Linked DNA regions of Daphnia pulex. The protein of the gene in region 1 purifies or fractionates together with the protein of each later gene. This does not show direct contact. Links are inferred from orthologs where the notes say so. Each region holds a gene or a part of one and is shown in the gene's direction. Other genes may lie near its edges.

Region 1 (4,631 bases):
ATCGCTGTTTATTTCCTATAATTTCTAGTTTTTCTTTCCAAAATTTGCAGGAAAAGTGAATTAGATGGAAATGTGTTATTCAAAACTATTATTTTACTGATCATATACATTTATTTACAAATCAGAACCTCCTGTGATTTTATTTAGTGGTTGAGATGGCATATTACTTTCGATAGCTGGTGCAACTTCACCTATTAAAAAAGAGAAAAATTTGTCATGTTGTAAAAAATAAAGCTGAATATAAAATAAGTGGTACCATACCTAAGGGGGAGTTAGTAGCAAACAGGATACTCAAATTAGCTAGGTTTGGATTTGTTTTCTCTAAAAATCGGATCCAAGAAAGAAGGGAATCTTTTGAGCATGTCCCAGTGATAGCTATAGCAAGGATTGTCCTTGAAAAAATTTAAAAAAAAAGTATTTATCTCATAATCAACACATTTGATGAAGATTAATATTTGTTTACCCATCTTCTTGTTCATGAACTGAAGGTTGAACAACGATATCTTTCCGAGTAAGATTTTCTTCCCCAAACATCCACGAACGCAGTTCACTTACATCTTGAACAAATCGAAGAATAAAATTAGAAAACTAGAATGAAGAAAATTGAAACTAAACTGTTTCAGTACACATACCATCATAATCATATTCATTCTGCTGTTTCTGCTCTTCTTCCGTTAACGGAACAGGTTCAGAACGCAAAATAAAGTAATTTATACTGGTTCTTCTTAACCAAATTGTGAAAGCGCCTTCAACGTAGACGGTTTGCTTTTCTTTGAGTTTGGCTAAAAGGTCTCTTTGATTGGCGCTTTGACCATTGACGATCCAAGTATCGTCAATGGCGTCTTGCAACTCACTAGTCTGAAAAATGTTCATCTCTGTAGCTGGATCAACACTACCCATTCTCTGGACAGCAAGTTTTGCTATTTCAAGATTTGAGTTAGGAATCTTTTGGGGGAGTGCCCATGGAGATTGGTTTTTAAACTTAGGCATCCAATAAGCCATCCTTCTAAGTTTTTTGGTGGGAGCTCCATGGCGACCAAAAATATTAAGAACCATTTGGTCAGTTTCTTTATCTGGACAAACACCTAAAAATGAAATAAAAACACATAAAATAATTTAAACTGATTTGAGGCAAAGATATTCTAACCATTGTTTTCCATCTGTTCCAGAACATCTATTATACATTGCTGTTGTTTTGGATAATGCATAAATTCTGCTTGAAACATATTTGTTGGAATATATTTTCCCTTTGGTAATATATCAATGATGTCTTTATATGCTTCCAGGTCACGATGCACACCAAATTCTTCCATTTCCTTCAGAGCAGCATAGATGAATTCCACTTGTGCCCTACGGGGCCCTGGTCTTGTTGTGTAAATTTTTACAGCTTCTAAGAATGTGTCTTTATTTCTATCTCCTTCTGGAACATAAAACATAGAAGGTCTAACAATCAGTTCGTTGGGTTCTTTATTTTTAAAATGAAGACTATTTATATGAATGTGACGGATCTGTAAGCATGGCAGTAGCTTGCAATTATGAACTTGAGGTAAGGCTCTTTGGAGAATTCGATTCAAACTTAAACCAAATTTTACTGCCATTATAATACTAATGGCTATTCAAAGCAGGAAAATAATCAACAAAATTCGAACTATTTGTAAAAATACCAGAAATACATAGAATTGTCACAACAAATTCAAGAGTAGGCGAAAATGGGATTTGTTATTGTTTTTTTCCTCTTTCAACTTTTAACGTCTGCTAAAATTTCAACTTCATTGATGATAGATGGCAGGGATTCATAAAAAAAGTTTCTTATTTGATTAAAAACTTGATTACTTTCGATTATTCATCATCAAATTAGAATAAAATTAAATCGCGGTTATTTCGCTTATAATTATGTTCATTTTGTTTTTAAATTATTCAGTAAAAGTGTTTGTGTGATCCTGCCGCCACCCGCCAGTGGTGCTACTTGCATCTACGAATATACCCTCTATTGGCGCGTTTATCAACGAATAAAGACAACTGCAGACGACGTTTGCTGGCTCATCCAAATATTTCTCTCTTCAATTCAATATCTTTCAATCTAATATTCTTCAAATTTGAATATGGCGTCATCCCTAGAACATTTTGTAAATTCTGTTCGTAATCTCTCTGGCGAAGGTTTGTTTTGAACGACAGTTGTATTTCATAATTTGTGGACACTAAAAATATTCAATTTTCTATGTATCAAACTGATAGGAAGCTGGCGAGAACTATATGATTTTCTCGGCAAGTCGCCCGACGTACTCATGAGGAATTCCGAACATTTAGACACTGTTCTGGATACTCTTGACCCACAACTTCACAGTCTAGGTGTTTTGGCAATTTACATGGTAAAGTTCATGATTCTCAACCAAAATGCAGCTCAAAATCAAGGAATTCAAGTTCCAGAACCCGAAGTGCTCATCAGTCAAGTCAGTCAGTTCATCACAGTTTGCAATGGTGAACAAATTCGCTGTGCTCCTGACTCATGTAAGCTTCTAATATTGCACTCTTACAATTGAATAATTCATAATAAATTGTTCTGTGCAGTCGCTGAGCTGTGTAACCAGTTTACCCAATGCCTAGTGGAACGAGAGACACCTGCCAGGGGTATTGTTCCCCTTACCAAAGCTATTCGGAAAGCCAGAATGAATGAAACACAGCTGACGTCTATCCACGCTAGCCTTCTCCAACTCTGTTTGATGGCACAGAATTTAAAACCTGCCTTGGAGTTTTTGAATGTTGAGATTTCTGAAATCAATTCAGAGGTAAATTGCTTTTTCAGGTTCTAGTGCACTGATTACAGAAAATTCTAATGACAAATGTGTTTGTAGAATGGATATTTTGATGCCAAGCATTTCTTGCTCTACTACTACTATGGGGGAGTTATCAACATGGCTGTCAAAAACTTTGAGCGAGCCCTGTATTCATTCGAAGTAGCTTTGACGACACCATCTTCAGCCGTATCTCACATCATGCTGGAATCGTACAAAAAGTACATTCTCGTCTCACTCATTCTTCATGGAAAGGTATGGATCAAATAGTCGCGCAATGTTCGTTCAATTTCCGATTCACATTGTCATTTGAAACGAGACTAGGTGGCACCTCTTCCCAAATACACATCTCAAGTGGTTAATCGGCTCCTGAAACCCATGAGCGCCATCTACCACGAAATCACGACGGTATTTGCTACCAACAAGCCGACGTCACTGGAACTTGTCCTCCAAAAGCACCGAGAATTGTTACAGCGTGAAAATAACTGGGGTCTGGCCAAACAAGTACAACAATCGCTCTACAAGAAGATTATTCAGCGACTGACTCAGACTTTTCTGACGCTTTCGCTCAGCGATATGGCCCTGCGAGTTCAGTTGCCCAGCGTGATGGAAGCGGAAAAACTCGTCTTGACCATGGTATTTGCTTTCAAGATGCTAAAAGATGACGATCAAACTATGTGTTTGTTTTCTTCTTCAAAAGATTGAAGATGGGGATATTTACGCCAGCATTAGCCAGAAAGACGGGATGGTATTGTTTCACGACAATCCGGACAAATACGACAGCACTTCAACTGTTGAGCGCGTTCAGAAAGAGGTATTTCGATAGTAGCCGGCAGAAATGTGTACCAGATAATTGACCTCATGGCTACTCGTTTGGGTAGGTCAACATTTGCATCGAGCTGGACATGCAGGTGCAGAAGATGGAGGAAGCCATCTGCACGAACCCGGTTTTCGTGAAGAAGGCGTCAGGTGCCATGGAAGAGGACGATGGAGGGAGGAGTTCAGCTTCGTCAGCCCTTCAGGCCGGTGCGGCAACCAAAGTTCCCTCCTTCTCCATGTGATCACCTATGATGCTCTTTAAAACACCAACTAATCCATAACGTCTCGATAAAATAATTACTTTCACATTTTTTTGTTAAATAACTAAGTGAGGATTCATACACGGATTAAAAACAAAAATTTAGTTTTTTTTTTTCAAAAATTGTATTGATAAACATCACACATAAAACTGTACACGATTTCCAACACACATAAATTCCAAAGTCAGACAGTCTGTCTATGCATCTAGTCGAGGCCATCCACAAAATCAGCTTTCACAATGATCTCAGAAATTCAAACAATATCTGGCAGATCACTGAGAAAACTAGTCTCGAGGTTTAAAAGCCGAAAATTCACACTGTCGGTAGAGCAACACACCCACACATGGCCGAAGCCGACTGGATACTGTTTGCTTGGTCCAACGGCGGATGAATGGAGAGCCCCAACTTCGAGGAGTGTCTACCACCAAGAGATAGAGGGCGCGCGCGCATTGATGTGATAAGATTAAAAACGAAAAACGCCAAACTGTTTGGAGGCAGGCGGAGATGTGTGTCTGCTAAGTGGCCTAGTAGACGAATAAGTAGGAGAAAGGTTGTAAATAAAGGAAGGACATTAAAAGAGAAAAGATGTGCGCATTCCAATGAACTTTGTCTGTCCCACATTGGTGACCGGTAAAAATGCAGACGGGAAAAATACAAAAAGGAGGCTGTGTGAGCCTGCTCTCTCTTTCTCTGCGCTTCGAGAAAGTCCGCATAAGGTGCACACAAACCAGTTTATGACGGAAAGGGAAGCCTACAATAC
Region 2 (4,855 bases), on another chromosome or scaffold:
AAACTTAATTCCGCTATTAGGTGTCTCCACGGAGGGCTGCTCATTAAATTTCATGAAAAATTTCATCATTTAATGAGTTAAACAAAGAAAAACTATTATAAAAAAATAAATAAATAAATAAAGCTTGGTTACCAGGAGCTCAAGTTTTGCTTTAGGTGTAGCAAATGGGGTATTTTTCTTTCGAATTTGTTGTTTTTTGTCGGGAGGTGTGCCTCGATGGGTTGCAGGGGAATGGTCTGCCGCAGCAGCAGTAGCTGAACCTCCGCTGTCCGCAGCTGTTATCAATTTCTGGAGATCTTGTGTTTTTCGTTCTCGATCTTTCTTGCGGGCTTCGATTTTCCTCAATTCTTGGAGTAGATTAGCTTCTTCCTCGACTTGTTCTGACGTACGTTCGAATAGCCTCTTTAACTGCTCTTTACGACGTTTTTCATTGTCGGCATCGTAAGCAATATTCTTTGGCTCTGGTCCTGTTGTATGCCTTGCCTTAAAAAAAAATATACAGTTATTTTTTTACTAGGTAACACAGACACAAATATCCTTTACCTTGTTTAATATGTTGCAGATATCATAATATCTCTCCTTCAAGTCTTCGATTGACCTTTTTGAGAATCGTGTACTATCCCAGCGGTCCTGAATAACGGTGAAACGAAGATCAAATTGCCGACAGAGGTCAAACAAATGATCTGTTTCTTGCTTTGTCCAATTATCAAGTTGTAGTAATTGATATTCTTGATCAGTGTAAGAAAATATATGGACTTGCTAAAAAAAAATATTTTTATATAAAAGAAATTTTCAAATCAATTAAAAAAGATGGAAATCAACCTTGTTAAATTTAGCAAATGGATACTCTTTCCCTTCATCTGCAGCTCTACGCCAATGGTGAAATACAGCTCCATCTTTCCGTGCTGGGTTAGTAAAGGGCATCCACTTCCAAGGTCTCACTTTACGGACACCTAAATGAGCTTTTGCTTGCTTGTATCCTTTACCTGATTGGAAATATTTATGAAATCTTTGGCATACAAATATTTCTTTCCCTTACTGGAAGCACACAAATTGCAGACAGACAAAGTTGTTACCTGTGTCAGTTGGAAATAGAGGAGCTGCATCTTTACTATCATTGACCAAAAGATTGAAAAGTTCTCGTGCCATTCCCTCAGGTTTACGTAAAACTTCATTTTTAGGTTTGTATTTAGGTTTCGGTTTTTGCGTTCCCATAATACTTTCTTTCGTCACTTCTGGAGTTCCCGGTCTCCCTAGCTCCAAGATATCCAAAACATCAGCCATTTTTACTTTATTCCTCTTATGCCCGACGTTTTGATCCGACACGTGTCAACACTTACGACAAGAATGTGAGTAACTTTCAAAGTTCAAACCACAAAATATTTGAAGAAAATGTCACATAACAATCGTAAAAAAAAAACGTCCACAAAGATTCACAAAAAGGACGACAAAAGCAGACACAGTTTTTTAAGCACGCTAGGTAACCATAAGAAAAGCTATTGTTGTCAAGTTTATTGAAAAATCCAATTGTGAGAAATATCATTCAATTTGTAATATGAAAATTTGCTAGAAATTTTAAAAATATTTTAGCTATAATTTTATCATTTAAATCTGTATTCTGGAGGTCTAACTTCCTCAAACAAGCAAACAATGGAATTCGCAAGAATTTTCCAAAATATTAATCTGACAACGTTTTTTTCTCAAGTCTGCACATAGAAATTACACAGAACGTGGTGCACACTTCTGCAGCAATTTCAAAGAAACTTAATTTTAATAAGGGAAGTTGTAGTTTCAGATAGACGTAACAGTTCGAAGGTGAGTTTTTGTTGTTTATAATGCAATAGTTTTTTTTTAACTTATGGTGAAGATTTGTGACCCATTGAAGTTATTCTACTCGTGTTGTGAAATTGTGATTGGGTTCCAAAAACGTCCTTTTGTGTTTCATTTTGGCGTCGATAAGTTTCAGCTAATTTGTTCTTATTTACATTTAAGTCATCCAGTATGGCGAACGACACCGTAAATCTGACTGAAATGTCAGATGTCAGTGCTATTTTGAGGTTATTTGAGGAACATCATGTAGCACCAACATTTGATCCTGTTCCCTATCTTTCTAGGTATGTGTTATTTGTTTTTTTGCAAGATTTTTTTTTTCTTAATCATGTTAATTTTTGTTTTCAAGACTGGCTGAACTTTTGGAAACAGAAACAGAAAATTACCTAAAAATGGATCCAGATCCTTTTGATGATCGTAACCCTTCTAGGAATCCAAATTGCAGCTTTGGACACATGCTTAAAATAATATTCAAGAAGGAAATTTTTATGCAAAAAGTATTATTTTCATTTACTTGGCCTTGATCTTCATTCTAAATATAAATGCTATTTTTTCATTTTTCTTAATATTAGTTAGTTGGAGACTATTTACGTGACACTTACTGGACCAGATTAGGCATTTCTACCAGAGATTCAAGGGAACTCAATACAGCTGCAGCTCGTCTTGTTCTAGATTTAATGCCAGGCTTAGAAGTATCTGTGGTGTTTCAAGACACAGAAGGATTGATCAACAGACTTTTTAGTTGGGCAGAAAAAGGTCCAGAACCACTTCAAAGCTACGCTACTGGTTTGCTAGCTGCTGCGATGGAACTACAAGACTTGGCTGCTAACTTTCGTGAGTTAAACGCTCATCTAGCACCGTTAATGTTGAAAAGGTTATGGGAAATCCAAAAGAGATGTGCCGAAGAAAAGAAAAATGACGAACTCGGAAAAATCAAAAGATTTTCAAAATTTTCAAGCGACCAACCGAGTACCTCGAGCAAAACCCCAAAGAATACGGCGAGTAGTAAGAGTCGAGCATCTTCCAGTTCAAAGGTCCCAAAGGATGAAGATGCTGAATTAATGCCTGGACCAGAACCGGCCGATGGAGCCTCCGATAAAGGAAAATTGCCAAAGAATAACAAAGCAAAGAAATTTCAAGGCAGGATTAAAGGTTCCAAAGAGAGAAAAAGTGGAAATGCATCTCTGAATGGATCAGCTATGAATGATTCTAGCAACTCGTCTTGGGCCGAAATGGAATCATACGTCATCGGTAAAAGATTATTCTCCATGCAACAAGTGTGTCTGTAAAGTTAAAAAACTAACACTTCTTACTTTATTTATAGGAACGTATCAAATGCATCCATTGACGGACTCAACTCGGCAAATCTTAATCTTGCGATATTTAACACCCATGGGTGAATATCAAGAGTTACTAGTTCACATGTTCGAGCAAAAGGCGCTCGACCTTATTCTTAACTACATCGACTTTGACGAGACCCAAGATTCGCGTTTATCGTTCGAAGCACTTAAATATCTCGGAGCACTGCTTTGTCACAAAAAATTTGCCATCGAGTTTATTCATCATCAGGGATTGCATCGCTTACTTGAAATTCCACGGCCGAGCATTGCTGCAACTGGAGTTGCCATGTGTCTTTATTACATTGCGTATTGCGAAGATGCCATGGAGCGAGTCTGTCTCTTACCAGATCACGTCATTCAAGAGCTAGTCCGATATGCTCTTTGGCTACTGGAGTGTTCGCACGAATCTGGACGTTGTCACGCTACCATGTTCTTTGGGACATCGTTTCAGTTCCGCATTATTTTGGAACAGTTTGACGCCCAGGATGGTCTTCGCCGGTTGTACAATATGATCAGCACTTTGTCAATACTTTCAATGGAAGATGCAAGTGATTTGTTGGATGATGACGAATCTCATGCTGCACGCCAAACCGTTCGACACGTCTGTGCGGCGCTAAAACGATACTTTGAAATTCATCTGGCTGGGAAAGTTGAACATCTTCAACGGATCAGAGTTCGTGAAATGGGTGGTTCTCCCCATCCGTCAACACCTCCCTACAAAGCAATCAAGCTTAATGCAGATCAAATTATCGATCTAATCACCACTGCTCAAGAACTGCTTCCGTTTCGGGCAAGTTGGTCACCCGTCAATGAATTTGTTAGCCTCGGGGGTATCCCTCTGCTTCTACAAGTTATTGCAATATCCTACCTATGGAATTTTACCGGACGTGCCGAGACTGTTCGCAGCGCTTTGGTAAAGAAATTAAATATATTCTTAAAGTTAAATTATTAAATATATTTTATTTTATTTTGCAGGATGTTTTAGCCGTTTGTTCTGTTTCTTTCAGAGTTCAGATGCTATTTTGTGATCGTATTCAAATTCCGGATGACGCCAATGCTGTAGGCATTAATATTCTACTTGGAGCAGCTGAAGGAGACATTGTAGCTGACCCCGAAGTTCAGCGTGCCGCTCTTTGCGTACTCATTCACTGCGTTTGTGCTCCCGTCCATCGAGTTGGAGGTTCTGTCGGTAGATTTAATGGCAGTGCCAAAAGACGCAGCGTGGTAATTTCAATGATATTTTCTTATTGTAGAATTTATGTATTTACGCATTGTGCTTTGTATAGGCTAGTCGAACGAGCGAAGAGGTTCTCAACCAAGTTTGGGAGTGTGTACGATCCCACAATGGAATCATGGTGTTAATGGACCTTCTATCTGTTAAAACACCCATTACGGATGCTGACTCGATTCGCGCTTTAGCCTGTAAGGCCTTGTTAGGTCTTGCACGCAGCGAAAATGCTCGCCAAATCATGGGTAAACTACCCTTGTTCACCAGCGGTCAATTGCAGGTAAATCATAAAAAATAATTTCTTATTTTGTAAATTAATATCAACCCAAATTCTGTCTCAGGTTCTCATGAGAGAACCAGTGTTGCAAGATAAACGTCAAGAGCACGTCAAGTTCCAGAAATTTGGATTGGAATTGTTGGAACAAGTCTCCGGTCGAATCAAGTCCAATGTCAACGA
Region 3 (5,133 bases), on another chromosome or scaffold:
AATAATGAGCCTTTAATTATGCTAAGCTGGAGAGCGTATTGCAAAACTAACGCCCCCAACCCTTTGTACAGACCCCACCTCCCTTCTTCGCGGGTAATTGTATTCCAGCAGTCGAAAAAGCCATCATAACGTGTTAGAATTGGTATAACAGATGCACCGGTGTCCAAATTATCGATAATAGTACGTGTTCCTTGAATATGCAGCCTGTTGAAAATTCAGAAGGCGTTTAAGTTTATTATTTAAATTCAAAAAATGAAAATAATCGTACCTATGGAGAACTGTCTCGAAGGGAAAGAGTAATACGTCCGCCACTAACGACCCAGCAAATCTTGAAGACAAGTCAAGATCGTTTGCTTCGACGAAACTCACTTCTTTAGAAAGGGCACCCTGAAATCAAGTGAATATTAATTATTTCAATATAGAAAATTCCGAGCGTATTGAAAATATCAGAGTTAAATCAACAGTTACTACAAAAACCTACCTGTTTACGCTGGCTTCGTTTTTTAGCTGAGGTCATTCCCCAGCGAGTCAATCCCGCTGAAAGCACTGAGACGATGTAATGAACCGTCCCACATAAAACAGCAGGGCACAAAATAATCCATATTGGTAACAATCGACCTAAAAATATTTTAAATGATGCAATAGAGAATCCTAGTAAATATTTTGGAAAAATGTTTTACCTGTTTGGGGGGCAGACCAGCTTAAGAACCTATAAATCCCTTCTTGAAAAACATCAAAGATACCCGGCTTTTCACTTGCAATATCAGATTGAACAGTTTCTACAACACTTGCTGCATAAAATGGGATCACGACAGCTAGGGAAACGCTAGGGAACCAAAAAATAGATTTAAAAATTCTTTAGATATCTGCTAATAATTGTCGTATGACAATTTCAATGTGTTTTTGTGATACCTTTTCAAGAGGATGTGGTGTCCAATTGCTTTCAATGAGCTGTTACGATCAATTTCTCTAAAAAAAAAAGAAAAAAAAAACAAAAACAAGTGAATATTCTGTCAGTCTAAATATAAACACACACTGGCTATTTCAATGAACACAAGAGGACAGCTTACATGGCAACATTTGCCACTTTATATGCTAAATTACTTTGGCCATGGTGTTATCTTGCTCAGTACATCCTCAATGGCTAATGTGAGACCTCTCACAATTAAAGCACTGCCAATTCCTTTCCATAACACAGTCATGCTTTGTCTTTGGTGTAGCCTAATGACTACTGGGACCAAGCTGAAAGGTAGTGTATGGTATTTTCTAGAAAATACATTAACCTACAGATAAGCAGTATTAAAAAATTTACTATCAAATTAACGTAAAGAATTTTTCACCTGACACTGTCTTCGCAGAACTAAAAATGGATGGCATAGTAGATTTTCAGCTGCTAGTCTCATAATACCAAAACTGGGATTTGGGATTCTACTTGCATCAATCATATCATCTTACAAGAAAATAAAAATTATGTAAAGTCATTGCAAAAAAATGTGTGATGATAAAAGTCACTGTTAATACCATATCTATATTTCGGCGACGTAATAGCTTTGTTTTCATGTTGTATCCTACCATCAGTTACTGCAGAAGCAGCAGAATCAGCTTTTTTTATCCAAAAGGGAGAATTTTCTAAACTGTAATAGAACGAGTAGTCCTCAGTTCCAGCCATACTAACCTGTACACTTGATTTGATATTAATGTTTATGAATTCCAAGTAAAAAAAAAACAAACTATTTTCGTATTATGGTTAACTTTTTCTTTCGTGATACGCAGCAGACGAATAACTACTAATAATGAGCTGCCATCTGATGATAAACTAAACAACTTTTCCGTTTCTTCGCGAAGGCCAAAGGGGCCAGAGCAGACGAACCCACACTGCGCAATCGTTTTATTAATCTTCAGAATCCTTGTTCTGTGAAACCAATTGTATTCTTATTTAACCCCAGGGTCTTAAGATTCTCGAGTAAATTGATTATTCAAGGAATCTGAAACTTTGTCCTTCATTTACGATACGAAAAACAAGTAAATAACTTAAGGTCTTTTCATTGCTATTGCCAGTAGTCATTGCATGATCGTTTGTACGAAGATCAGTTTTGGTTTTCTCCCGTTGAACTTGGAAATAGGGACTCTGGCTTTTTTTGTAAAATTCCTATGATCCACTTTTTGGACTTTGATTCAGCTGTTCTAATAACTGCACAAAATGTCTCTTAAACCGAAGCGTGTAGACTTTACCACAACTTGGGCTGATTTAAAGGAAACAGTTAAAGGTGTTGTAACTCTGGGAAATGTTCCTCATACTATATGGTACAATCGATTCAGTGATGTGTATTCCCTCTGCGTGGCTTACCCAGAACCTTTAGCTGAGAAATTGTACCAAGAAACTAAAAAGTTTTTGGAGGAGCATGTTAAATCTCTTTTCATCCAAGTGAACGGCACCAGTGAAGAACAGCTTCTGACTGTGTATTACACACTTTGGCAGCAATATAGCCAAGGAATGGACTATTTGCACAAACTTTACTCGTAATTTATTCATTTCTTTTCTCTAATAAAACAAGTTAATACATGCTTTTAATTCAAATACAGATACCTTAATACCCAACACATCAAGAAACAAAAAGCATCTGATGCCGAGCTTCTTTATGGGACATTGTCTTATGAATCACCTGAACAAATGAAAGAAATCGGAGAATTGGGTAATCACTATTTGTAATTTTTTTGGTGTACTGAATCCTTATCGAAACTTGCTTGCTAGGTTTGGATTTGTGGAAGAAGTATATGATAGAGCCATTGAAAGCCGACTTGCTGAGATTACTTTTGGGAGGCATACATTGTGACCGAACTGGACAATCTTTGTATAATGAAAAGTCATCAACAATTCAGGGTGTGATTCAGTCGTTTGTTTCAGTCGAGGAATACAAGAAGAAGAACACCCTCGAACTTTATGAGGCTGTTTTTGAAGGGCCATTTCTTGAAGCGACCGGTGAATACTACAAGTAAGAAATAATTAAAATGTTAAAAATTTGCATATTACAGTTGTTTGGTCAAATTTAGGCAAGAAGCTAGTCGCTTGTTACAGGAATGCACAATTTCCTTGTATATGGAAAAAGTTTTGCAACGTCGGGACGAAGAAGATTTACGTAGTCGGAAATTCCTGCACCCAAGCTCTTACAGTAAAGTTCGAACTGAATGCGAAAAACGAATGGTAGCAGATCACTTGGCGGCTATCCACAACGAGTGCCCGACAATGGTTCAACAAGAACTCCAACAAGATCTTCGAAATGCGTACGCGTTGTTGAAGGTGAGAGCTTATCTTATTGCCTCGTAGTATAAATTTTAATTGTTTTCTAAAATTTGTTCAGTCGATTCCGGGAGGTTTGACTGTTCTGGTGTCGCACGTCATGGAACACATCAAACAACAAGGATTGCGAACAGTGACTAACCTGTCAGGAGACAACATTGCTGCCCAGTTTGTAGAGGGCATGCTTAGTGTCCACTCCAAGTACAAGGAGATCACCAACACTGTTTTCAGTAATGATCAGCTATTTAGCAGCGCTCTAGATATGGCCTGTGCTGCAGTCGTCAACCATCGCTTCAATACTAAACAAAATTGTAGGTCTCCAGAACTACTTGCCAAGTATTGTGATACTCTCTTGAAGAAGTCAACAAAAGGCGGTAGTGACACCGAAGTTGACGATAAGTTAACACAGTGCATTACTGTATTCAAGTACATCGACGACAAGGATGTTTATCAAGCTTTTTACTCACGGAAGTTGGCACATCGATTGATTTCACAACAGAGTCAAAGTATGGACGCTGAAGAGGCAATGATCAACCGATTGAAACAGGCATGCGGATATGAGTTTACCAACAAACTTCATCGAATGTTCACGGACATGTCCGTCTCATCAGACCTGAACAACAAGTTTAATCTGCTGAACAAAGATCGGATGATTGAATTAGGTCTCAACTTCTCCATCTATGTCTTGCAAACCGGTGCGTGGCCTAGACAAGTCTGCCCTACCGATTTCGCCGTACCCCAAGAGTTGGAAAAATCGGTCCAAGAATTTGAAGATTTCTATCGTCTACAGTTTAACGGCCGGAAGCTTGCATGGCTACATCACTTGAGTTACGGAGAGCTGAAACTGAACTACTTGAAAAAGCGTTACTTCATCACCATGGGAACCTTCCAAATGGCAATGCTTCTTGTCTTTCAAAAGACCAATTCCGTGACTTGTGGAGAACTCATGGAAGCCACGAAGCTTAACTCGGATCAATTCCAAAAGGTCCTTCAGAGCTTAGTCGACTCAAAGCTTTTGGCAGTAACTAGTGACACTGTCGAAGTTTTCCAACCATCTACAGTCATTTCCCTCAATATGGATTATAGTAACAAACGAACCAAGTTTCGTATTAACAACACTATCCAAAAGGAGACTGTCCAAGAAACCGAGACGACGCATTCTTCTGTAAACGAAGACAGGAAAATGTACCTTCAGGTAAGAATTATACGAATATTTTAGCGTAATGCGTTAGAAATCCGAAAACAAACTAAAGTTTTTTTTTTTTTTTCATTTGGCTTTCCAAGGCTACAATCGTTCGAATCATGAAATCTAGGAAGATTCTTCGCCACATGGTCTTAATTCAGGAGGTGTTGAGCCAGTCCCAACCCCGATTTGCTCCTCCCATTTGCATGATAAAAAAGTGCATTGAGACATTGATTGACAAGCAGTACCTGGAGCGTACCCCTAATTCAACGGACGAATATAGCTATGTGGCATAGAAAATGCAATCTCAACGTTAGTTCGCAATATCATGCTGTAATACTTTGGCGTGAATTTTTGAAATTGTTGAAAAGAAAACCGCGTCGAGATGGTAAGGGATTGTTGGGCCTTTGGGGTATTTCTCATATTGTACATGAATAATTTTTCCATTTGATATTTTTCATCGGTTTTTCCTTGCTGTGTGAACTTAGAAATTCTTACTTACACACTTTGAACATCGTTTAAAGTGCAGTATTAGAAATACAAAGCATACAAAATAAATGTTGGCAACTACGGAAAAGATTTTTAAAAGATAAAATGCACTGTTATAGGCAAGAAATTGTATTATAGGTAAAGTTAAACAGCTTTAAAATAG
Region 4 (4,868 bases), about 1.8 Mb from region 1:
TTCAAGAATATACTAGAGCGGGAAAAAGCAGACCTTTAAAAACGACTGCAGCTCCAACACCTTTTCAATTAAGAGTCACCAAAGTATGAATTTTTATATTTTTTTTTTTTATAAATCAACAATATTTTATTTATTTTTTTGAAATTTGTCAATAGACCAACTACAATAATGCTCAGTCAATTGACCAAGCATTTTTCAGCCAGTCTTTGTCAACTGCACACAGTAAAGGCCGCGCATCTACTCCAGGTGAAACTCATACTAAAGGAGTTGCTGCGAATTCCAATTTTCCAGGGTAAATAATTGTTTTACCTCAGTTAAATTAAAGAAATTATAATAATAATAAGTATGAAATGTCTTTCTTTTTTTTTTAGATCTTGTACCACTTTGAATGAAAGTGATAAACCTTGGAAAAAACATAACAAGAAACATAAACGAGAAAAGCTTCGTAGAGTATACGCTCATTTGGATCAGTGAGCCTGTGTATCAAATACTGGAAATACAATTTGATGGTCATACTTCGTTTTTCTTTATATGGTAATATATGAGATGTGTATCAATAGAACAGAAGACAATGTAGTATTGGTCGTTGACATTTTGCTTCAAAATCTTGCAACATTTCATCAATATCATTATCAAGGTCATCACTGTTGGCCATCTAAATAACCAATTTAAAACACTTTAAAATAGCCATTAAAATAAAAAAAAGTTGCTCAATATTATTACCATGGACACCAATTCACACATGAGAAATGCACCTATTGTTGCCTCTTCATGGTTGTCTTGAATTTCAATGTTTACCACATGAACAGGAGTAGTCTGACTGTCTCTGCCTTCCAAGCCTTTTTTTAAATAAAATAGATGAACTGATTATATCTGAATTCTGAAATAACAACAAATTTCTCATTATTACTTTCAATCACTTGATCATAAACTCGTTCTTCACATGTAAGAATAAGATTAAATTGTTCTGTAGTCGACTGAAACCTCTCTGGGTGGGGTTTAATTCTCCTGTTTCTGTCTAACATATGAAGAAGTCCATTTCTAGTATACCTACAATAAAAATGTGTAATTGTAATGTGGATTCCTTCAAGTTTATTTGCATTTGAAGTTAACTGTACAATTCTCTATCCTTCTGCAAGAGATCTTGATAGATGTCATCATAAGGTGTCCCAAATTCATATACATTGGGTCTGTCAGGGGCTGCACCTGGTAATTTCACTTTGTCTCCAGTTCCAAATGATTGCACTCGATATCCTTTCTTGCTAAGGAAGTAATATAATAAACATTTGTTTAAGGTTATTGCGTGACAGATAACAGAATACTTCAGTTTAGAAAAGAACAACAACGATGCATAGCTTTCCGAAATAGTTAACATACAAAATACCTCAAAAAATTATGTGCTTCCATGCTGCGATTCATGTTACTTGAACAAATAACAGCTAATTTTAATGGCTGCGGCATTTTCTTTTTTATTTATAAATTGTTTAACACGACCGAAATGAATGATTCAATAAAATCAAGCAGACGAAACACCATCAACACTAATTACTCCCGCTAGGTTTCATTCCCAGTAATCTTAAAGTTATAAATGGATGGAATGTATCAGTTGATAGGCTTGAACCAAAAATTTTGTGTTAAAAAACATAGTTTGATTAGATTTAATTTATCAAAAGCTTAACAAATTCCACTTCTAATCAAACAATTATAGTAACATTTAAATCCGCTTGGGTGGGCATTTTTGTTTTTTTTGGTAGCAGACGTCTTTTATTTCCACATGGATCAGTATGAACCGGGTAGAAGTGTAGAACGTTGAATTGTTGAAATACTTTTCAAATATATTGGATGCAAACTTGAAACTTCCTAGCAAATGACTGATTTGTAAGGTCTATATGCAAATGGCACCACAAAATAAGAAAAAGAGTTCTTCAGCTCCCAAAAGGAAAAGGTTAATTAGAAAATATTTATTTTTGATACTTTAGGCAATATCGTTTGTTTTATGATTTGATAGAGATTTCTGTTCAGATCAATCGGATGACGATTTTGAAAAGACCTTAGTGCCCAAAAGATGTAGCAAATCTGTTTTACCGAAACCTGAAGCTAAAATAAGGGAGTCGGCTAAAATAAAAAAACAAACAAAATCAGATATTGCAAGTTGTTCAGTTGGTGATTTGGAAACCGCAATTAATGTAAAACCTCTCTCCAGAAAAAATTTCTTGTCATACATTACAAAAAGACAAACTGGCCAACCAATTTCAAGATGCTTTGAAAAGGTAGTATTACTCTACAATTGATTTATCAAGAATTCAACATATATATATATTTCTCAACAAACTGCTACATCATTTTCAGACCCTGAAGTTTCATGTTATGCAAAGTGTGCAACATTTGAAAGTTTTTAAGACTGCATCTCCTTTTGACCGTAGAATTACTTCCTTAGTATGGCACCCAAAGTCACTCACCACTCTTGCAGTTGGTTCCAAAGGAGGAGATATCATTCTGTGGAATCATCAGCATGAATCTCATGATGTCTTCATACAAGGAGTATTTTTCATAAAACTTAATCAAATAACATAAGATTTTATATTTATATAAAAGTTAGGGGCAGGGGGATCAATACAAGCAATGAAATTTGATTATAATGAAGATAATCACCTCTACACCTGCTCAATTGATGGAACATTCTGTAGGAGGAACTTAAGAAGTAACCAAGTTACTGTTTACTTAAACACCGGAGAAGACTGCTTCAAGTAAAACTTTTTGTTATTTAAGAAACATAATCTGGGGGTTTAGGCTTAGTACCTAATAATACCTAATATTTGTAGTAATTGGTACACCTCTTTTGATGTATCCTTCACTGGGGGACTTCTGCTTGCTGGAGATAATAAAGGATATGTAAATTTGCTTACCAAAGACGGGACTCCTATATGGAAACAACGTTTACATAAATCAAAAGTGCACCACATTGAATTCCACTCTGGGTAAGTTTAAATTGTTGGTCAACAAAACTGAATGAATTTACTTTCTTTTTTATTATTATTACCATTAAGAACGCCTTGGCTATTTGTCACATCGTCCGGCGATAATTTCGTTCGCTTGTGGGATGTGAGAAATATAAAGAATACCGAAAGCGCGCTTGTAGAACTTAAGCATGAAAAGGGAGGCGTAAATTCTGCGTATTTTAGGTACTTTTTTTTATGGAAATGATTTTTGCAAATGGCATTTTATTGAAATTCTATTTATCTTTTCGTAACTACTAGCCCAGCACACGGAACAAGGCTCTTGATTACAGATCAACACAGCGAACTGAAAATTTTTTCTGGCCCACTTTGGAATTTGGAAACAAAAATTCTCCATCCTCACCGACATTTTCAACACATTTCGCCTATTAAAGTTTGATTTTAAAATTTATAATATTTAAAATAATTTATCCTTTATGCTCTTTCGCTATATTGGATCGACAGGCAGATTGGCACCCATTAGAAGACATTATTGTAGTTGGACGATATCCAGACCCCAAGTTCACGGGCTCACAAGGAATGGATACATTTAATCCAGGAAGTGAACCCCGCACTGTGGATTTTTTCGACGCATCTGACGGGGAGCTGATTTGCCAGCTTGAGCCAGTTGGACAGAAAGGGATCATGTGCTTAAATCGGTTTGATCAATTGGGTAACATATTAGCATCTGCACATGGGGCGCATATTCTTTTATGGGCACCAAAATACTCGGAGACAAACATTCCTTCTACTAGTGATATTTGCCAAAGTGTTCAGGCACCAATGCGTCGTCCTCTTACAATGGATAATGATAATGATTTAAAGAAGAAAAAAAGAAACACTTCATCTCGAAAACAAAAATAGTTGAATATTACTAAAAATAAATAGAGAAGAACCTGCAATCTTTGTTGTAGGATACCGCTTCCTTAACTGTTCAAAACTATTTGTTTCTTTGTTTGTGTTACCTAAAATTAAAACTGAAAACAAATCAAAAATAGGAATTACCTGAATAGTTTCTGCGAAGTGCGAATACATCGGTTTCATAAAAATTGGCATTTCGGTTCTCGATCGTAGTTACTCGTTATTAGTAATTTGAGATCAGGAATAATGACATTATTGTAAACATTAGATTTGAGATGTGCACCTTAAAAGAATTTGGATCGATCGATCAAGAAAGAAGATCGACCATTGGTTAAAATGGTAAAATGGGATGGATAGATGGGATGGGGCCTTTATTTTTCTGAATGTTTTACTCAAGCAGTAGGTAGCAATTAACTTTAGTTTAGTGCATTAATGTTGGAATGTTTATTGTAATATTTTCTCTAGATTCAACATGCCAAAGTTAGTTGGAAACCTAACTCAAACTTAGATAACCGTTGCTGCTGCCTTACAGCCACTGGCAGGAAAATTATTCTTTTTTTTTAGAAAAAAAATGGAGTGGTGGAGTTCTATTGTCACGTAGTGGAGTGGACATTAGAACTCCACTACACGACAATAGAACTCCAATAATTTTTAAAATTTGAGTTTTATTGCCGACAGTAGAACTCCACTAGTACCACTACGCGACAATAGAACTCCAATATTTTTAAAATTGGAGTTCTACTGTCGGGCATTGGAGTTCTATTGCCGGGTATTTGTAATCCGCCGCAGTTGTAAATGTGAATCATAGATGGCGATGAAACTTGTATTTTAGTCTGCTAAAAAAGAGTCAAATAAAATGTCTGCAATCGTCAACCTACGTGTTTTCCGTAATTTCAGCAGGTGTCAACTAGACCCATTTCTAATTATCCCACATCATTTCGTCAAAATGAAGAAATTCAAAAAGTGGATGGTAACTTTCATCTTTTTAAAATGGCGCTTAGTATCATTAGA
Region 5 (4,861 bases), on another chromosome or scaffold:
ATTTTCTTAACTTTAATAGGGGGTAGAGAAGCATTTAATCGCTTCTCATTTCGGGTCCTGACTGGAGTTTGGGTTTTGTGCGCTATGGTTTTGGTCAATTGTTACACTGGAATCGTCACATCTTCACTCACAACGCCAAAGATGAAACCGACCATAAACTCATTTGAAGACTTGGCCGCAAGCGAAGAAGTTGGTATAGTTCTGCGAAGTGATACGACGATCGGAAATCAGATCCTGGTGAGGTCATTTCTCCTTTATTTTCTAAATCAAATCCTCATAAGCTGTTCCTGGATTCACTAGAAGGCGACATCCGGTATTTATAAGGTTCTTGGGGATGAAGCCCGACGTAATCCTAATCAAATAGTTGACAATCCTTTCAAGTTGACCGCAACACTGGAAACTGGACGCTACGCTTATCCTTATGTAAGTGTATAAAGACAGAGATTAACATGATCAATTTTTGAACTTTTCTGTTTCATTAGCTGCACTCTTTATGCTATGCCTTTGTCTGTTCTCAATATGAGAAAGACGGGATGTGTCGCTTTAAATTATCGAAACTTTTGCCCGTTTCCATTGGATTTACGTCTTTGTTTTTTAAAAAAGGAAGTTTGTTTACTAAAGATATGGACAAAGGGTATGTAACCATTTTAAACACCCTAAATTTTTACATCTTGATTTTTTATTTATTTATTTCAATCCTAATATATTTACAGACTTATGGAACTGTGGGAGAGTGGACTTGTCCGTTTATGGATTAATAATATTCATTCTACTCCCAAGGCGAAACAGTGTTTTGCCGATACGAAACGTGGAGTCACCCGCGTAGTCCCCATTCAACTGTCGGACTTAATTAGCGCTTTCTTTATCCTTGCTATCGGTATTGGATTGGCGACGCTGAGTTTCTTACTGGAAATAATCCTATCAACATTACGTCGAGAGAGGCTTTAGTTAATTTAAGCATTTATTGCAGCAGGTATGTGCTGCACTACATCAATAGGGCACGTTGTGTAGTTTCTAATAATAGTCTTTTCGTCTAATAATATCCTCTTTTATATATTTATATATACGTCTTAAACAACCTTTACCGAATTTTAATCCGTTTTTACTTCTCCTCCTGGGGCATGCGAACGTTTTTAGCTTAGTCTTGTAACTCCTGATACGAATTAACTAACTAGCAGTTGATTTGCTAGAATACACATTTGTTTAAAAGTTTGATTGTCTCAAGAAATTTTATTGGTTGCTACAGTGACTAAAAGAGGCAAATTTAATGCTGCCCAACGGTAGGTCGGTAGGTAATGAGGAAAGACAGGATAAAGTTTATTACACGTGAAGCTCAAGTTATCGTCGTAATTCAGTAATTGTAATGGAAATAATTTTGAAATCGTAATAAAAGGCCTAGCTTCTAAGATATGACAACGAAAATCACTTGATTGCAATCCTGAAAAATTTGGTTGGTATGAATTTGGTTCATGCGTTGGTTTTTATCAGAGAAAAAGAAAATGAGGAAGAAAAGGCTCAATTTCAAATTTTGGCGGTAATTTTTTCTCAAAGGTTTAGAATTTCAACACTAGATGTCGTTTGCGTAAAGCTTTTTATCAAACATTTGCTGTCGTCTGCCTAGTTGCGTGACATTTTTTATCGGGTTAACTAACTTTGTTATTGAATAAACGGTGAGACAACAATCTACCTTCAAGTAAGAAGCCGAATCACAGCACGTTATACGTTTACTGATTTAATTGTCCCAACAGAAAATGAACTCTGACGATGAAGACAGAGACAGCAGTAACAGAGATACTTCATCGATGTCGGACGAAGATTCTGATACCGACATAGCCACAGTTCTTACCCAGCTCATCAGGAGGTTAGTTAGTTATCCCTTCATGATAGTAGAGTGGCTTGCAGATCATCTTAATATTCAACAATTCTTTCCCTTTCTGGGAAACCACAGTGGCCGAGCTCACATTCTTTCAGAAAGAAACTCAGTATTTGAAGAAAGAAACGAGTCTTTCTTTGATTTCCTTCCAAATGCCCAACCACCCCCTGTTGACAGCACACCTGATTTAACTGTTCTTGAGGTAAAATGAGTTTGTTTAGACATAACAAGAAGGTACCTCTTTTTAATACCAGTTTTTCTCTAGGGGACTGATTTGTACTTATCAACATCTCTATCATCAGGAATCTACAAGCACGGTTGCAAATCCCATTCCACTCGTGTGACATCACTACTGTACCAGCGTCAAGTAGGGATGAAGGGTACAGGGCATTTTTCTGGTGGAGACAGGAGCTATATTGGCCACAACTATTTGCCTAACAAATTCAAACAAGTTGCCAACTGCAATCACAAAATGTTTTGCGGGACATATTCTAAAGATGGCAATATTTTCCTCAGCGCTTCACAAGGTATTACAATTGACTTTGTGTTGCGCAAGAAAAGATTTAATCTTTGCTTTTCTTCAAATTCATAGATCGAGTTATCCGTGTGTTTGACACATCAAAAGGCGGATTTGATTGCATAAGGAAAATCCCCGCCCGAGATGTCGGATGGAGTATTCTAGACACAGCGTTCAGTCCTGATGGACGTTCCATCATTTATTCTAGTTGGTCGGAAGCCAGTAAGTACCTTGAAACATAATTCGACTTAGTAAAAATGTTGTTAATGCGTTTGGTTCCATTTTCAGTCCACCTTTGTAACATTTACGATGAGGTGGAAAGACATGAAGTTCTCCCACTTTCCCCGGAACTCCGACGGTTTTGTATTTTCAGCCTTACTTTTTCTCAAGACGGAAATGAAGTATTGGGTGGTGCCAATGACGGCTGTTTGTACATTTACGATTGCGAAAAACGACAGAGAACGCTCAGGGTAAAATTACTATTTTGTTTCGTACCCACCAACAGTCCTTAATTAACCTCCCATCTTGTTTAGATTGATGCCCACGAAGAGGACGTGAATACTGTGGCCTATGCTGACGAAACTTCGCAGATCCTATTTTCTGGAGCGGATGATGGATTATGCAAAGTTTGGGATCGTCGAACGTTGGCGGAAAACGGAGAGGCTAAACCGGTGGGCATTCTTGGTGGCCATGTTGACGGACTTACGTTCGTCGACTCGCGTGGAGATGGCAGACATTTGATTACAAATAGCAAGGACCAATCCATCAAGCTGTAATCTCAATACTTGTTTTATCTATCGTAAAAAAAAAAACATTTAAAAAATGTGCGATTAATTAGATGGGACATGCGCAAATTCTCAGGAAACGAAGTTCAACAAAAGACTAGAATGCTTATGAACGCCCAAAGTTGGGATTATAGTTTCCAAAACGTTCCGTGGAGGCGTAAGTTAACTTTTTGTTATTGTTTATGTTTAAAATCTCAACTGAATTATTATTCTTTGGCAGTGGCTTCTCCCAAAAACAAGATCGCCGGTGATACTAGTTTGATGACATACCGCGGACACAGTGTCTTAAGAACTTTAATCCGATGCCGTTTCAGTCCAGCATTTAGCACTGGGCAACGATATATTTACAGTGGTTGTGCAGCTGGAAAAATTTTCAGTGAGACCCCAATAACCTAGTATTATCAATCTAAACCAATTTAATTTTTAAATATTTGCAATTTTAGTTTATGATGTCCTGACTGGAAAGCCTGCAGCGATTCTGACTGGTCATTCTGAATGTGTTCGGGACGTCTCTTGGCATCCATACTCCATGGATATTATCGATTCAGCGGTATGAAATATTATTTCTAATTTTTCTCTATGAATTCCCAAAGTTTAATCAACCGGGGTAATAGTGGGACGGCCGACACTTCAAGTGGTTCCATTCCTCAGCCGATTCCGAGGACGAAATGGATTTGGACACGGAAGAGTACATTACCGACAGCGAATCCAACGATTCCAATCCTAATTGGATGCAGAGGCAGCGCCGCTCATATCGAGATGACGACGCGGCTGATGGCGGAGGTGATCGCGAAGTGCGTAGGAGTCCACGACTGGCCGCTCGAGCAACTCCACAGACGGCCCGGAGAACGTCACAGAGGCAGCGACAAGCAGCCAGCCGCCGCCCTCTTTCATAAGTCTTGTCCGCACCATATATCCTTTAATACAACACACTTGTTTCGAAACACTTCATAACTACAAAAAAAAAACGCAACGCAGTCATTTGTTTCAATTCTGTGTACAGTTATTGGTGTTACCTTTAACTGAAGCAGGCGTGGTGCGCTCAATTCACGCGCTTCTATCGATACGTTAACCTTCCCTCTTTTATTTTACTTTTTTGTGATAGATGATCAACTTCCTCCCGGGTACGATGCATCTAGTTGTGCTGGATAATTTGATGCGTGTGAAACTCTCAAGTAAATGAGAGTGGAAATTTCCAAGAACAATTCTTCTTGTTATTTGTATAATTATTTTTTTTTTTTCATTTTTTTCTCCTGGGTCTTTTATATGTTTATAAAAAAAGGTCTACGTGTACTACTTTTGGGAAGACGGAAATACAGGGCTAAATTCTACGCCAATACGGATTTCTACTCAGCAGAGATTTACAATAACTGCAATTTGATATTTTTGTATTTCGTCAAACAAGGGCGTGAAAAGACTCACTGTCATATGAGATTGGTAAATCACAACACGGGATGAACTTGGATGATGAAGCCACCTAATTTGTCAAATATCTTGATTATGAATCGTCAAAGGTGAGTCGGCTCGTTCCTTTCTTCATGTAACGTCTGTACGCTTTGTGGCGAGCAGATTGAGAGAGTTCTCGTTTCAGATCTTCTTCCTTCTCTGCCTTCCAATCGACTGCATTCGACTTAATCCAAAGTTCCAGTTCGAGATATTCTTCTCGGGTATGGTCCTCAAGAGCAT
Region 6 (4,961 bases), on another chromosome or scaffold:
AAGAGTCCGCGCAATTTCTAATCATTCCGTCGTGTGAGCTTTTCCCCCATTTATACAACACGATATCAAGTGAAAGCAGCGGTTTACACGACTCTTACTCGACCAAGTTTAATTTTTGAAATTTATTAACTCTTGATCGTGAGTTTTCCCGATTTTGAATATATCAGAAATATCCACAAGATGATGTAGGAATGTTATAGAAATCGGAAACGAACTCTAGCGCCGTTTCTGTGCGACTTCTGCTGGCTTATGTGAACACATAGCGTAACACACACATATTAAAAAAGCCGGACGCTGACCGGGGCATCTGTCTCTGAGGAGAATATAAAAGAAAAAGAGAAATCTAAACATTGGAAAAGCTTCTCTAGTTCTCTTTACACGGTTCCAGCGTTTTCTGGAAAATTTGATGCGGGGGGTGGGAAAATCAAATAAGAGATAATTCGATTTTAAAAAAAATGCATTTCTCAAATAGTAGATTCCGATTTATTTAAGCGAAAACAAAAATTTTTGTTTATGACATGCGAGACGGGTGGATGATTCGACATGGTACGTTCTTGATTACAAAAATTTGCGGTTACATTCGTACTGGGCAATTCTGACTGCTCTTGGAAAGCCAGACATTATACAAGATTGACGCAATTCTTCTTTATAAGGTTTTTAAAAAAAAATGGAGAACGAGGCTTGAATACGGACGAAAATATCTTCAATGCTCATTTGCATTTTTGCTTTTAGCGATTGTCGAATAATGAAAACAAAATAGTCCGCGTAGTTTTATAGGATCTTGATAAGAACATCAGCAGCAGAAAAATTTAACTCTTCTGATGTAGTACTCATCGGCGTTTTCTTTTGATATGTAATGTTAACATTTTTGTTTTGGAAATCATTTTTGTAAGGTCATATCGAGATTAAGCCTTGGAAAGAGGAAAAACAACTATTTATAGAGATTGAGTAGCCTGCAGCAAGCAATTGAAAGGGAGTGCGGAAATTGACTGTTTTGTTTGCGTACTATCAAAGCAGCTTGTGATCAAAGTAACCTTGATACGTGCGTATAATAATAATGTTGAATGCCACATCAATTATCACATTCACTACCAGTTGCAGTTTAATTATAAGCTGTAGCCGGTCCTGCAAGTATACTTGGCCAAATGCGTCTCACGTACGCTTTTATCATGAGTAAACGAGGAAATAACGTGAAGTGGAAGAACAGACGGGGATAGCCTGGGAACTGGGATAGTAGCCATAACATATTAATGTAGCATTGACGCAACAGCCATGATGAGCTGCCCACCATCTACTGGTTGCAAGAGTACTTACTAAATGTTGGATAAATATGAGAGACACATTTTAGCCACAGATAAATTCCTCGATCCATCCGGATAGATGATAGATAAGACTCAGATCTCAACGAAATTAATATAAATTCGAAATCTTTAACTACGAGACATAATAAAAAGTCAGCGACAAAATTTTTACTAATTAGTTTTAAATACTTGTGTCGCTTATGTTCTTGATTCACTAGTCAGTGGTCGTTACCACACAAATAGATGAAGAATCAAACAAAGCAATAAATCCAAGCCCGTTTCTATGCGCTCATTGGCGCTCGTTAAAAAATCAAAATTCAAAAAGGTCATGGCAGATGTCGTGGCAAGACGGGGCTTCAGTCCGGTATTCCGATTAACCGGTTAACTTCGACAGCCTACTGGTAGAGTGTGTGTGTGAGCCGATGTTAAGAACAGGAGCACTGAAAAACGGCTAGACCATCAAGAAATAGAAATGGCAGCATCAATGTGGAAGGTAAATAAAGAACTAGTAAATGTTTTTATTTGTTATGAGAAAGAAATATCAAGTCTTTAGATTATGCACTTGCAAGTAGTGTCATGATTCATAACCTCATCAACAAATTCGTCGATCGAAATATATCGCATCAACATTAACCAATTAAAATATGTTTTCTTACTTTTAAGGATAAAGGACAATTGGTATTTGAAGAACAATGGCCTCTTATGAGACCAACAATTTTGAAACTGTTACGTCAAGAGCCTGTTAGTCGAGCTGAATGGCATGAACTGTTTTGGTCTGTACACATGGTGTGTTTGTGGGATGAAAAATCACATGCCAAAATGTACAAGGCATTGCAGGATGATATTCTGGAATTCATCAAGCAAGCACAGACAGTAAGTTACATATTCCTGTTGCAATCGGTGTAAATGATTAAAATAATTGAGATGCATCTATTAATCCTCTTTGTTTATATCAGAGAGTACTAACTCATGAAGAAGACCAGTCACTGTTGAGGGCTTACATCAGTGAATGGCGTAAATTTTTTACCCAGTGCTCATATTTGCCCATGCCTTTCTTCCAGCTTGAAACTGCACTTCAAGGTAAAACACACAACTCAATACAGAAAAAGCCCCAGCAAAACACTGATGACAGTCTAGTCAGAAAGGTAAACAATAAATACATTTTTAATGAATAACTTGTTTTTTGATAAATATTTTGTTTCTGTGTTTTAGCTAATGTTGGATTCCTGGAACTTTAGTATTTTCTCCAACATTAAAAACCGATTACAAGACTCAGCAATGAAATTAGTCCATGCTGAAAGAAATGGAGAAGCCTTTGACTCACAGTTGGTCATTGGAGTGAGAGAGTCCTATGGTAAAACATTTCTATGGCAAGATATTGTTTCAACTGCTTAATATTTACTTACTTCCTGCAGTTAACCTTTGTTCAAATTCTGAAGATAAGTTGACCATTTATATGGATAACTTTGAGAGGGCTTATATAGATTCCACCGAAGCTTTTTACAAGTTGAAAGCTCCTCAATATTTGGAAATCAATGGTGTTCAGAATTACATGAGATACGCAGAATCGAAACTACGCGAAGAGGAGCAGCGAGCCAATAAATATCTAGAATCGTGTTCCATTGCTACTGTACTAATGGCTTTTTATTACTTATTTTAAGATTTGGTTATAATTTTTTTAAATCTTTCTTTCAAGCTTAACGGATGTTGCGTAAATGTCTTGGTGACAGCCTTCAAGGAAACCATTCTAGCTGAATGTTCTTCTATGATTAAGCAAGACGAAACTCAAAGTATGTTTACCACATTTAATATTGAAAATTTACAGTGTCGTAGGTGGAGTTTGAGTAACATTTAAATTTTTAATCACAGAATTGCGTATGATGTTCCGGTTGATGGATCGAGTCTCCGATGGAATTGCACCTATGCTAAAATATTTAGAAGATCACATTATTCACGCAGGATTGGCGGATATGATGGTGGCAGCTGAATTAATTACTCAAGTACATTGATAGACTAGTGTTAATGTCTTCATGACTCATTCATAATTTTTTAATGCTATTGGTAGGATTCTGAAAAATATGTGGAACGACTTTTGACACTGTTCAATCAGTTTAGCCTCTTGGTTAAGGAAGCTTTCGACGATGACCCGCGGTTCCTTACTGCTCGTGATAAAGCTTATAAACATGTTGTGAATGATACTTCAGTCTTTCGATTAGATTTACCCACTCGATTGGTAATTTCCTGTTTCTGTTTACCTTTGCTTTATGCCAAAAAAATTTTTCCGTTGACATTAAACTAACACTTTAAAATTAAAATTGTGTTTTCAGCAAGGACCTGGCTCCAGTGGAGGAGTCAAAACCCAACCTGAATCTCGTTGCCCAGAGCTGCTAGCTAATTTCTGTGACATGCTTCTGCGTAAGACACCTTTAAGCAAAAAACTCACTTCCGATGAAATTGAAAGCAAACTAAAGGATGTGGTAAGATAAAAAAAAGTTGGTGTTGTCACGCTAGCATAGTAATGTTTTCGTTTGATTAAATAATTATTCATATGCTTCATTTGTTGCCATTTAGCTACTTGTTCTGAAATACGTTCAAAACAAAGATGTGTTCATGCGGTTCCACAAAGCGCATTTAACTAGAAGATTGATCTTGGACACCTCAGCTGACAGCGAAAAAGAAGAAAACATGGTTGAATGGTACACTAACTAATTTTTACGTTCATTTTGCATTTTTTACAATTATTTTCATGAAAAAGGTTGAGAGAAGTTGGCATGCCAGCCGACTATGTTCACAAGCTTGCCCGTATGTTCCAAGATATCAAGATCAGCGAAGACTTGAATCAACAATTCAAAGAGGAATATAGGAAGACCAAAGGAAGCATTGCTGGTAATACCTCATAGAAAGGGCGCATAAGTTAACATAAAGATTAATTTTTTTAAACGATTACCAGACTCGATTAACATTAAAATCCTGAATGCTGGAGCTTGGGCTCGTGGATCTGACCGAGTGACAGTGTCGTTGCCGTTGGAGTTAGAAGACTACATACCAGAAGTGGAAGATTTCTACAGGAAAAAGCATAGTGGACGAAAACTTCAGTGGCATCATCATATGTCAAATGGAACTGTGAGTCTTCCTTATAATTTATAAATTATTTAAAATTCTTCACATCCAGATCTTTGGAAGAAATAATCAATCACCGAATATGTGATTATCGTTACTTAATACCGAGTGCAGCCGATTCTAAACCTTGTATTTCATTTTAGATTCAGTTTGCCAATTCAGTTGGAAGATTTGATCTGGATGTTACAACATTTCAAATGGCTGTCCTATTTGCGTGGAACGAACGACCGAAAGAAAAAATTTCTCTTGAAAACTTGCGTTTAGCAACTGAGTTGCCTGATGCGGAACTTCGACGAACTCTTGGGGTATACAAATGTTTTAAAATTGTTTACAAATGTTTAGAATTGGAATAATTATTCACATTTGATTTTATGGAATGACATGGTTTTTCAGTCTTTGGTGGCTTTTCCAAAACTGAAACGACAGTTGTTAATATGCCAACCGGAAGTCCAATCCGCAAGAGATTTCACTGAAAACTCTATTTTTTCTGTCAATCAAGACTTCAGTCTAATGTACGTCTTTTTTTAAATCGTAGTTTAT

Evidence for each region.
Region 2: the proteins of COP9 signalosome complex subunit 3-like (region 1) and DDB1- and CUL4-associated factor 1-like purify together in Homo sapiens (affinity purification with mass spectrometry; 5 studies listed by BioGRID, with this or other methods). This does not show direct contact. The link is inferred for Daphnia pulex from reciprocal best matches to the Homo sapiens genes COPS3 and DCAF1.
Region 3: the proteins of COP9 signalosome complex subunit 3-like (region 1) and cullin-2-like purify together in Homo sapiens (affinity purification with mass spectrometry; 5 studies listed by BioGRID and IntAct, counting the BioPlex papers as one, with this or other methods). This does not show direct contact. The link is inferred for Daphnia pulex from reciprocal best matches to the Homo sapiens genes COPS3 and CUL2.
Region 4: the proteins of COP9 signalosome complex subunit 3-like (region 1) and DNA damage-binding protein 2-like purify together in Homo sapiens (affinity purification with mass spectrometry; 7 studies listed by BioGRID and IntAct, with this or other methods). This does not show direct contact. The link is inferred for Daphnia pulex from reciprocal best matches to the Homo sapiens genes COPS3 and DDB2.
Region 5: the proteins of COP9 signalosome complex subunit 3-like (region 1) and DDB1- and CUL4-associated factor 11-like purify together in Homo sapiens (affinity purification with mass spectrometry; 3 studies listed by BioGRID and IntAct, counting the BioPlex papers as one, with this or other methods). This does not show direct contact. The link is inferred for Daphnia pulex from reciprocal best matches to the Homo sapiens genes COPS3 and DCAF11.
Region 6: the proteins of COP9 signalosome complex subunit 3-like (region 1) and cullin-5-like purify together in Homo sapiens (affinity purification with mass spectrometry; 3 studies listed by BioGRID and IntAct, with this or other methods). This does not show direct contact. The link is inferred for Daphnia pulex from reciprocal best matches to the Homo sapiens genes COPS3 and CUL5.

What each region holds. Positions count from the first base shown.
Region 1 is NC_060018.1:6,887,891-6,892,521, forward strand, and holds COP9 signalosome complex subunit 3-like, read left to right. Parts: upstream 1-1,997; 5' UTR 1,998-2,102; coding exon 2,103-2,157; intron 2,158-2,235; coding exon 2,236-2,508; intron 2,509-2,568; coding exon 2,569-2,786; intron 2,787-2,852; coding exon 2,853-3,047; intron 3,048-3,116; coding exon 3,117-3,428; intron 3,429-3,492; coding exon 3,493-3,606; intron 3,607-3,673; coding exon 3,674-3,853; 3' UTR 3,854-3,971; downstream 3,972-4,631. Other genes in the region: probable flavin-containing monoamine oxidase A, read left to right, coding at 1-21; evolutionarily conserved signaling intermediate in Toll pathway, mitochondrial-like, read right to left, coding at 115-191, 262-392, 464-557, 633-1,085, 1,148-1,598. UniProt on the Homo sapiens protein: Component of the COP9 signalosome complex (CSN), a complex involved in various cellular and developmental processes.
Region 2 is NC_060022.1:4,446,860-4,451,714, forward strand, and holds the start of DDB1- and CUL4-associated factor 1-like, read left to right. Parts: upstream 1-1,686; 5' UTR 1,687-1,815; intron 1,816-1,992; 5' UTR 1,993-2,001; coding exon 2,002-2,114; intron 2,115-2,179; coding exon 2,180-2,327; intron 2,328-2,402; coding exon 2,403-3,081; intron 3,082-3,154; coding exon 3,155-4,083; intron 4,084-4,145; coding exon 4,146-4,394; intron 4,395-4,456; coding exon 4,457-4,678; intron 4,679-4,739; coding exon 4,740-4,855. Other genes in the region: mRNA export factor GLE1-like, read right to left, coding at 1-36, 133-483, 544-759, 823-986, 1,077-1,284. UniProt on the Homo sapiens protein: Acts both as a substrate recognition component of E3 ubiquitin-protein ligase complexes and as an atypical serine/threonine-protein kinase, playing key roles in various processes such as cell cycle, telomerase regulation and histone modification.
Region 3 is NC_060021.1:10,404,860-10,409,992, reverse strand, and holds cullin-2-like, read left to right. Parts: upstream 1-1,837; 5' UTR 1,838-2,200; coding exon 2,201-2,520; intron 2,521-2,583; coding exon 2,584-2,693; intron 2,694-2,752; coding exon 2,753-2,993; intron 2,994-3,051; coding exon 3,052-3,298; intron 3,299-3,359; coding exon 3,360-4,493; intron 4,494-4,582; coding exon 4,583-4,777; 3' UTR 4,778-5,039; downstream 5,040-5,133. Other genes in the region: solute carrier family 25 member 46-like, read right to left, coding at 1-204, 269-387, 482-618, 681-826, 913-969, 1,105-1,283, 1,341-1,450, 1,522-1,669.
Region 4 is NC_060018.1:5,111,458-5,116,325, reverse strand, and holds DNA damage-binding protein 2-like, read left to right. Parts: upstream 1-1,759; 5' UTR 1,760-1,889; coding exon 1,890-1,945; intron 1,946-2,008; coding exon 2,009-2,270; intron 2,271-2,349; coding exon 2,350-2,541; intron 2,542-2,595; coding exon 2,596-2,747; intron 2,748-2,822; coding exon 2,823-2,978; intron 2,979-3,047; coding exon 3,048-3,182; intron 3,183-3,257; coding exon 3,258-3,390; intron 3,391-3,461; coding exon 3,462-3,860; 3' UTR 3,861-4,045; downstream 4,046-4,868. Other genes in the region: large subunit GTPase 1 homolog, read left to right, coding at 1-83, 156-292, 372-474; RNA polymerase II subunit A C-terminal domain phosphatase SSU72-like, read right to left, coding at 554-655, 724-839, 911-1,050, 1,119-1,262, 1,385-1,461.
Region 5 is NC_060025.1:8,379,439-8,384,299, forward strand, and holds DDB1- and CUL4-associated factor 11-like, read left to right. Parts: upstream 1-1,585; 5' UTR 1,586-1,693; intron 1,694-1,748; 5' UTR 1,749-1,751; coding exon 1,752-2,075; intron 2,076-2,138; coding exon 2,139-2,400; intron 2,401-2,465; coding exon 2,466-2,612; intron 2,613-2,678; coding exon 2,679-2,860; intron 2,861-2,923; coding exon 2,924-3,162; intron 3,163-3,228; coding exon 3,229-3,332; intron 3,333-3,395; coding exon 3,396-3,551; intron 3,552-3,618; coding exon 3,619-3,725; intron 3,726-3,789; coding exon 3,790-4,071; 3' UTR 4,072-4,512; downstream 4,513-4,861. Other genes in the region: glutamate [NMDA] receptor subunit 1-like, read left to right, coding at 20-237, 301-423, 483-634, 714-948; dnaJ homolog subfamily C member 25 homolog, read right to left, coding at 4,674-4,861. UniProt on the Homo sapiens protein: May function as a substrate receptor for CUL4-DDB1 E3 ubiquitin-protein ligase complex.
Region 6 is NC_060021.1:667,481-672,441, reverse strand, and holds the start of cullin-5-like, read left to right. Parts: upstream 1-1,639; 5' UTR 1,640-1,773; coding exon 1,774-1,794; intron 1,795-1,964; coding exon 1,965-2,174; intron 2,175-2,257; coding exon 2,258-2,446; intron 2,447-2,513; coding exon 2,514-2,655; intron 2,656-2,716; coding exon 2,717-2,931; intron 2,932-2,997; coding exon 2,998-3,091; intron 3,092-3,170; coding exon 3,171-3,301; intron 3,302-3,366; coding exon 3,367-3,534; intron 3,535-3,628; coding exon 3,629-3,778; intron 3,779-3,872; coding exon 3,873-3,997; intron 3,998-4,056; coding exon 4,057-4,187; intron 4,188-4,251; coding exon 4,252-4,424; intron 4,425-4,564; coding exon 4,565-4,726; intron 4,727-4,814; coding exon 4,815-4,933; intron 4,934-4,961. UniProt on the Homo sapiens protein: Core component of multiple cullin-5-RING E3 ubiquitin-protein ligase complexes (ECS complexes, also named CRL5 complexes), which mediate the ubiquitination and subsequent proteasomal degradation of target proteins.